Coturnix japonica: one gene and its partner. The protein of the gene in region 1 interacts with the protein of each later gene in a biochemical or structural test. Links are inferred from orthologs where the notes say so. Each region holds a gene or a part of one and is shown in the gene's direction. Other genes may lie near its edges.

Region 1 (4,392 bases):
TACACAACAACACAAAATTCACTCTCAAAATTGCAATCGTCAGGACCATAAACTCATACTATATGTATATAACAATATTAATCATGTATTTAAGCATTCAACAGGGGGGGAAAAAGAGGCATACACACACAGTCAATCAATTACTGTATCATTCTTACATTCTCAAAAAGGCATCTCATGTGTTTAACTTGTAATTCTCTATGGTTTCGATGAAAGAAGAGAGCAGTACAAACAAACCCTGAAAAACAAAACCTTTCAAGCAGCAGCTTTCAGTTGGTATCTCCCACTCTCCATCCAGTTTCTCAGGGAACCATCAGCCTCGCAGTGACAGTCTGGTTAGAAGCACGCAGCCAACGGGTACGTCATTTGCATGTGAAAATATTTTTAGAAGACACACATGAACGGCACATGTTCTCAGCCTGAGAGCAATCTGCCACCTATACACCCAGAATGTTATACACCCAAAGTTCAGAGTTAATTTACAGACAGTTATTCTATTTGTTCTTTTGAAATCACAAAATATCAGATCTATATCTGTGTATATCAGATCTTACACAGCATGCTAAACTGTATCTGAAATTTCTATTCTTCCTGTGTTAACTAGAGACAGTTGAAGAAGGTGAAGATGGAAATGAATAAAACCAGAAATAAGCCACATGCTCATTGCGCATTGTTAGTTAATTAAAACTAAAGCAAATTCAGACAGACACGACATGGAAACAATATCCGAATAAACAGCAAATCCAACTAGATCTCAGTCATTCCCAGTCCACATCTGGAACATCCAAACTGATTCTGGTGGTTCTGGAGCTTGCATCACACAGTAACTATTACTTCAGAGCTGCTTTGTTCAGGTCGAGCAAAATTATATTGCATTGCAAACTGAAAATCTCTACTTCTTCCCTCTGCCAACACTCAAACTCTTCCCCACACATATCACAGAATCACACATATCACAGAATGACCCGGGTTGGAAGGGACCTCAAGGATCATGTAGTTCCAACCCCCCTGCCTGGCAGGGCCACCAAACATACACATTTACTAGATCAGGTTGCCCAGGGCCCCGTCCAACCTGGCCTTGAACACCTCCAAGGACGGGGCATCCACAACCTCCCTGGGCAGCCTGTTCCAGGGCCTAACCACTCTTCTAGTTAAGAACTTCCCCCTAACATCCAACCTAAATCTTCCCTCTTTCAACTTAAAACCATTTCCCCTTGTCCTGTTGTCCTTCCCAACATATGGGAAATCCCCTCGTTATACGAACAAACTCAGCTATGAAGCTCTTTCAAAGTCAATCCAGACTAACAAGTGGGGGAGGAAAAAGTCACCTTAATCCTGAAGCACACACACAAGCCACGAGCTTTAACTAGATGATGCTGAATGCAATCACAGGTGAGGGCCACCCCGACCAGAGCTCTGCGCTACCCAAGACACAAGAGCCGCTCCAAACACAACCGCCCGGCACCAAGCGCTGTGAGGCGGCAGCGCCACCGCTGCCAGCCCCGCCCACCGCGAAGAGAAGGAGGAGAAAGAAGGGGAGGAAGGGGAAGAAGGGGCAGGAGGGAAGCGGGGAGGAGAGCTGCCTCCGCCGGGAGCGGCATGGCGGACGGAAGAGGTGGAACGTCAGCGCCGCAGGAGGCGGTCGGTGAGTAGCGGAGTGCTGCGGGTTCCGTGCGCCGGGATAGCGGGCAGATGGCGGCTCTGAGCGTTCCTAAATGCCGACTATTTCATGTCAGGAGCTGCGTGCTGCTTTGTTTGGGTGATGCTGGGTGGGACGCCTACGCAGCGAGACGGCAGTGAGTGCACGTGTGTCTGTAGGCGCAGGTTTCCCAGGTTGATGTGATAATTAACGGTATATATTCTTTCTCCTGCAGCCCTCACGTAGTGCGTGGATCGCTCTCGATGTGGACTGACCAGGCCAGGCCTCCCCGAGGCGGCCGAGCACCCTCGGGTGCTGAGGATAGGCCGTGCCCCCTTAGGTCGTGTTTGTACCTAAATCGACTCCTCCTAGGAGGGCTCAGTGATGAGTCAGTTACACTTCAGCCCCTCTTTGCACCCCATTAAAGCGTTCAGTGGGAGAAATCTGGTTGGAGGAGAAACTTCTAGAGCAGCACAGCCATCACAGCGCGGGCTGCTTTATCTTGTGACATCAGGGAGCATATAAACAAGAGTGGGAATGGCTGTGGGTGGGTAGTGACAGGACAAGGGGAAATGATTTTAAACTGAGGCAGGGGAGGTTCGGGTTAGATATTAGGAGGAAATTGTTCACACAGAGGGTGGTGATGCACTGGAACAGGTTGCCCAAGGAGGCTGTGGATGCCCCATCCCTGGAGGCATTCAAGGCCAGGCTGGATGTGGCTCTGGGCAGCCTGGTCTGGTGGTTGGTGACCCTGCACATAGCAGGGGATTGAAACTGGATTCACTGCGGTTCTTTTCAACCCAGGCTGTTCTGATTCTATGATCAGTTTTTATCTTCCTTCAGCCTGCGTTAGGCTTTTCTGCAGGAAAGTGGTGCCTGTGTCCCCACACACAGCCTGTGTGACATCAGCATGTCCTGTTGGTACTGTGCTTTGTTACAGTTGTGATGTGAATATTCATAGTTGTCGTCTCAGGTAAAGAAAGATGACTTGTGTAACAAACACATCTAACACTGCAGGGCTTTTTTTTTCCCCCGGACTTCAGTTTATTTTCCTCCTCTTTCTTCTTTACCTTCTTGATGTAGGAGAGAAGTCAGTGGCTTACAGGAGCTTCATTTTAAGTGTCCCTTTAACCTTTAAGCACTGAAATTTGCTCCTGATATCATCACTGCTCTGTCACCTGCAGTTTGTAACTGCTTTTTGGTTTTGTTGTACTGTTTCCCCAGATACTGCTCCTACTTTCAAGGTTTCTTTTGCTGTAGAAATCCTTGACCTACCTTTTCCATGTTCTCTTTTTTCTGCCCTGTTACCTCCACAGCTTACCAGATCTTATAGACCAGTCTGACACTCTAGAACAGCAGGAGAAACTCCTGTGTTTTGCTGGATTTCCAGCTGTTTTGTGCTCAGTTAGCTTGTGGGAAGGCTGATGAGAGGGTGAGCTGACAGAGAACGTGGCAGAGGGGAAAAGCTGAGAAAAGAGAGATATCCCTATAGACAACACTGAGCCATGAGATCAACTTAGCTGTCCAAGGAGCCATAACATTGCCTGATAATTGCACCACGGCCACAGCACAGTTTGCATTACATTTCTGAAGTACCCAGGCAGTTACAATACAGACAGGCTGCTTGGTACTGGTCTGCACATCTATGACCAGCAGGCCAATGTTCTCTACTCTTTTTTCTTTGCGTGTGTCTGAAATAAAAGGTCAATTAATAACTTTGTTATTAGTCTTTATTCTGTTCATCAGTGCAGTCAATGGCATGGGCTCTGGTAGCATAGTACTGCTGCTGGGTGGTGATACCTGTGGGGAGCATTGTATGTCTCAAAGCAGTACTGCTCCTTTAAAAAAGGAGAGCAGAAGTAACAGGGAACATAAAGAGAATAACCAGGGGAAAAAAACATGCATTCTTTTTGAGAAGAATGGCAAAATAAACAGTGATTTGCAAAGAAGCAAATATTGTTTATCAAAACAAGGCATTCTTAAAAAGGAATTATCTTTAGTTAGTGTTGCAAACCTTTTTGAGTGTATGCAGATGATTTGTACTTACATGGTAAGAAACTGCCTGGAGTTCCAGGTGTGTGATCTATGTATTTCATTTAGTCTTCAGGCAAAGTGTTTGAATAAAAGCCCTCTGAACAAGCTAGAGATGTTTTCTCATTAACGATGGTATGGAATGTACAGTTAGCATCTATTTGAGTGTGTTTGACACAAGCACAACTTCATTTGTTGTAGAAAGAAATCATGTTCCCATCTGGAATAAGTATATGGTAATAGAGAATTGAGAGACTGAGGTAGTGCTATTGCTGCTGAGTGGGAAAAGGATTGGAGTGCTTGGCTTTCATTTATAGTCCATTAAACCTGTGCACTTAAAGCCTGATCAGTTACTGTTTGCCTGCAGTGAGCCTGGGATCCCATTGTTTGTAGACCTTCAAGCCCTACTTGAAAACTAACCATGATCTCTTAAGGCATGTCTGGGTTGTTGCTTCTGTCCTCACCTTTTACTGTACCCTCTGGTTTTATAAATTATGTTATACCATCTCTGCATGCTGCTGGACACATTGCAGGTGTCAGTAGGACATGCCATCTTCTCATTTTGAACCCTACAGGTGGTCGTAGAGGATTGATTTGAAATGAGTTGTTACATTTTATAGACCTCACTTTTTTTGTTGTTACTAACAGTATTGACCTATAGCATCCTGTCCTGTTCTGTAGAGTCTCTCCTTGCCCGCTGTTAGGGGTGGTTTGGAATCAAA
Region 2 (4,586 bases), about 110 Mb from region 1:
GTCAATGGCTCTATGTCCAGGTGGAGGCCGGTAACGAGCGGTGTCCCTCAAGGGTCTGTCTTGGGACCGGTGCTCTTTAACATCTTTATTAATGACATCGATGAGGGAATGGAGTGCACCCTCAGCAGGTTTGCTGATGACACCAAGCTGAGTGGTGCAGTCGATACGGTGGAGGGAACGGATGCCATTCAGAGGGACCTTGACAGGCTGGAAAGCTGGGCTCGGGTGAACCTAATGAGGTTCAACACGGCAAAGTGCAAGGTTTTGCACTTGGGCTGGAAGAACCCCAGGCACCTGTACAGGCTGGGAGGAGTGGTCCTTGAGAGCAGCTCGGCAGAGAAGGACCTGGGGGTCCTGATGGACGAGAGACTCAACATGAGCCAGCAGTGCGCTCTGGCAGCCTGGAAAGCAAATGGGATCCTGGGCTCCATCAGGAGAGGGGTGGTCAGCAGGGAAAGGGAGGTGATTGTCCCTCTCTACTCTGCTCTTGTGAGGCCCCATCTGGAGTACTGTGTCCAGGTGTGGAGCCCTCAGTACAAAAAAGACATGGAGATTTTGGAAAGGGTCCAGAGGAGGGCCACGAAGATGATCAGGGGGCTGGAGCACCTCCCCTATGAGGACAGGCTGAGGGAGTTGGGTTTGTTCAGCCTGGAGAAGGTTGCAGGGTGACCTCATTGCAGCCTTTCAATACCTGAAGGGAACTTACTCCCAGGAGGGGAGTAAACTCTTCGAAAGGGCTGACAATGGCAGGACACGGGGAAATGGTTTTAAGTTGAAAGAGGGAAGATTTAGGTTGGATGTTAGGGGAAAGTTCTTTACTAGGAGAGTGGTTAGGCCCTGGAACAGGCTGCCCAGGGAGGTTGTGGATGCCCCGTCCTTGGAGGTGTTCAAGACCAGGTTGGACGGGGCCCTGGGCAACCTGATCTAGTAAAGGTGTATGTTTGGTGGCCCTGCCAGGCAGGGGGGTTGGAACTACATGATCCTTGAGGTCCCTTCCAACCCGGGTCATTCTGTGATTCTGTGATCTCCACTGGTGCTGATTTTCTGGGTGTGGCATGTAGGCTCTAGTTCATCACTGGTGAAAATGTGTAGCTAATGATGCTTTTGTTGAAAAACAGTGTTTTGTAGCTGAGAATTTCCTCTGTCAAATGGAGTTATTGTGTTCTTTGTATCTGTTGTAGTGTCCATAGAAATAAAAAGGAGGCCTTACTTTCAGAGCAAGCTACATACAACACACATGATTTCTCAGCAACTCTGTGGTTCTGGAACTCCGCTGACTTAGGCACTATTGGGGATATCGCTGAAAAGGAAAAACAGTTATGTTTGTTCTGGCTGGGTTTGGAGAACAGGAGAAAAACAGTGCAGCATGTATTACTAAGGGGTGGGGGTAGGGGACACTTCTACATCTTAATTGTAGAAGTGTTGTGCCCAAGACTAACATCTTAATGTGGCCTTTTCCAGTAGCTTTAGCTATTGGTTATTTGGGAAGTGTAACAACTTCATCAAAACCCAAGTCACTTCAGTACTGGAAGAACCAACACTGTCTGGCTTTGAAATGCTAATCTAGCTTGGTTGTGGTAAGTGAGCTATGGGGAGAACAGTAATGACACTGAATACTCAATTAGGTACCTCAAGAAATAATACCTGCACACGGTGATTATAAAGATGATTACTAATGCAGATTAAGTATTATAGTTCGTCTTTTTGATGGTGACCATTTGTTTTAATTGACAGCTCTTAACACTGGGAAAGCAGAAAAATGGCATCGGAAGACATTGCTAAGCTTGCAGAATCACTTGCCAAAACCAAAGTGGGTGGAGGACAGTTGAGCTTCAAAGGCCAGGGCCTTAAACTCAACACGGCTGAAGATGGTAAGAGAAAATATACATTTAGATCAACATTTCTGCCATGTGAAAAAACAGCATGTTTTTCAGGGATATAATGTGGTATACTGTCTACCTCTTTTACTGACTGTAGTGATGCTTTTTATATGCCTTATTAATAGTGCAAAACCACTGAAATTTTAGGAAAGAGTCTGGGTGTGTCAGTGACAGGAGAGAGCCTGCAGCCTGCACCTTTGCCTTGAATAAGAGTATTCCAGAGTACAATTGTTCCACTCTGCCACGTTTAGTAAATGGGCATCTATTTATGCCAGTCAGTGGGAACTTATTCCTCTTGATGTGGTGCCCGTTGCCATCATATTTTAGGCCTTTTTGTCTTTGTTGATGCCTGCATTCCTAAACTATGTGAATCAAACTTATATAGTCATCCTCATATTTGTCAAGGTAATAATAGAAGTAAGTCATGAAAGAAGAGAGAGGATGATGAATGGAGAGCATTCTCTCCAGTGATCTGACACTGTAGCTGTGTTCTCCATTGCTGTTTCAGGATTGTCTCAGATAGTGTTACTCAGATGTTTTGGCTAACTGTAGAGTGTAGCAAATACTTCTTTCTCAGTGTGTTACTGTGATATCTAAGATGGTAGTAACAAGTCCCAACAAGACTGTATTTTTTTCCAGCTGAAGAAGTGATCAAACAAATTGAGGAATTTGATGGCCTGGAAGCATTGCGTCTGGAAGGCAACACCGTGGGTGTGGAGGCAGCAAAGGTTATTGCCAAAGCCTTGGAGAAGAAGCCAGAGCTCAAGGTGAGACCTTCAAGCAGATGGTGGGGGCAGAAAAAGTTTTGCAGAAACACTGAAGGCCTGTCTGTGCTCTTCTTTCTGGAACCTGCCTTGAGTTAGCCCCAAAGCTTACTTTGTTCTTCCAGTGGTAAGAATAACCATATGAAAATATAGCAGAACTTGGAGGCTTTTAGACAGTGGGAGGAGCACTTCCTGTATACTTAACCGTTCCTGTTCAAAAGGCTTCCAGTCTTAAAGCTGGGAGACTGTGCAAGAAAGAGCATCTCTGTGTAAGCAACATCTATAGACAAAGACCTGTGGCCACAAAACAAGTTTTAATGGCAAAGCTGAAGAATGATCAGATCTTCTGCAAGTGATGTTTCATACAGTACCTGAATAATAAAGGAAATGATGGAGGATATGTGCCAGAAGGTTTTTCTGTGTCCAAGCCATGTTTCCCTAGTTCTCTTCTAGCCTAATGTTAGAAGGATGCTGTGCTTCTAGAAGCACTGCTCTTTGCAAGAGAGGAATATGAAACATTGATCCACCCACTTGAGGCTTTTCAAGTCAATTCAGATCGTTGAGCTCCATACCTTAGTAAAATATATGTTCCTGTCCTTCAGTTTCCTACTGTTTTTTCTGTTGGTAGTTTTCTCAGCAGAAAAGAATTCCAGCTCAAGCAACAATTCTTATATACTGCTATTTACAATATGCATTTCAGTGGCTTAGCATCCTTCCAAGAGAGCAGCTGTAGTATTAGTTGTCACAGTTCCTTAGCACAATCAAATGGAGAGGCCACAGCAGACTATATTAAGCTGTCCATACTAATGTAATGCATCTTGTATGTGTAAATTTCTGTACAACTGTGTCCTAAATATTTTTCATGGCTCGTATCTGCATGTTTCTTATTTTAGAGGTGTCATTGGAGTGACATGTTTACTGGGAGGCTAAGATCTGAGATCCCTCCTGCTTTGGTAAGTAAAAATTTGATCTGAGACTTCCAACTAATATAACTTATTTTCTCACCTGTCATACTTTTTGTGGGAGTGTATTTCTGAGACTCAGTGAGTTTTTCTCTATACTGTTAACACTAAGTGTCTCAGAATAAGTAATGTGTTTTTAGCTCCTTCTGTATGAGCTGGAGAAGTGTTGATAAAAGGCCAAATGCAGTTCTGTATTAGTGAAGAAGCTTGTCCCTTGGGAAGACATCTCCATGATCCAAAAGGTAGTATGGGAACTGAGCTTTCAAACAAAAGCATATGGCTTTTTCTTCCAATAGCACTGCAGGGCTCCCCCTTGAGCAAGAACATGTTAAACTGGAAGAAATTCACAAAATATTTCTTTGAACAGTGTAGAGAGGAAACACAAGTTGAAAAGATGTATGTTTAACCAAATAAGATGGGATAGTTCTTGGTGACTTCCTTGCAGTTATCTTTAGCTTGATTTGCATAACTCCTGCTCTGGCTTTAGCTATGAAGTTATATGTCTCCGTGCAACTTTGCATCCTCAAAATGGAATTTTTCTGCAGCATCACTGTCAGTAACAGTCAGACCACTCCTTGCCCTCACCCCTGTCACCTGTTTCCCTGCAGATCTCTTTGGGGGATGCACTCATCACTGCTGGAGCCCAGCTGGTGGAGCTGGACCTGAGTGACAATGCCTTTGGGCCAGATGGCGTGCGTGGCTTTGAGGCGTTGCTGAAGAGCCCTGCCTGTTACACCCTGCAGGAACTCAAGCTCAATAACTGTGGCATGGGCATTGGTGGTGGCAAGGTAAAGGTGATCTCCTTGTTGGGGATGAGATCAGAGCCAGTACTTGATTTCAGACTTCCCTACACAGAATCACAGAATGACTGGGGTTGGAAGGGGTCTTTGGTGGTCATCTAGCCCAACTTTCCTGCTCAAAGCAACCAGACCAGGTTGCTCAGAGCTGTATCTAGTCAGGTTTTGAGTATCTCAAAAGAT

Evidence for each region.
Region 2: of the proteins of USPL1 (region 1) and RANGAP1, one has a biochemical effect on the other in vitro, tested with the Homo sapiens proteins (2 studies listed by BioGRID). The link is inferred for Coturnix japonica from reciprocal best matches to the Homo sapiens genes USPL1 and RANGAP1.

Annotation. Positions count from the first base shown.
Region 1 is NC_029516.1:156,630,956-156,635,347, reverse strand, and holds the start of USPL1 (SUMO-specific isopeptidase USPL1), read left to right. Parts: upstream 1-1,543; 5' UTR 1,544-1,645; intron 1,646-2,385; exon of another isoform or gene 2,386-4,392. UniProt on the Homo sapiens protein: SUMO-specific isopeptidase involved in protein desumoylation. Specifically binds SUMO proteins with a higher affinity for SUMO2 and SUMO3 which it cleaves more efficiently. Also able to process full-length SUMO proteins to their mature forms.
Region 2 is NC_029516.1:45,361,187-45,365,772, forward strand, and holds the start of RANGAP1 (ran GTPase-activating protein 1), read left to right. Parts: upstream 1-1,737; 5' UTR 1,738-1,759; coding exon 1,760-1,871; intron 1,872-2,519; coding exon 2,520-2,647; intron 2,648-3,537; coding exon 3,538-3,597; intron 3,598-4,214; coding exon 4,215-4,394; intron 4,395-4,586. UniProt on the Homo sapiens protein: GTPase activator for RAN. Converts cytoplasmic GTP-bound RAN to GDP-bound RAN, which is essential for RAN-mediated nuclear import and export. Mediates dissociation of cargo from nuclear export complexes containing XPO1, RAN and RANBP2 after nuclear export.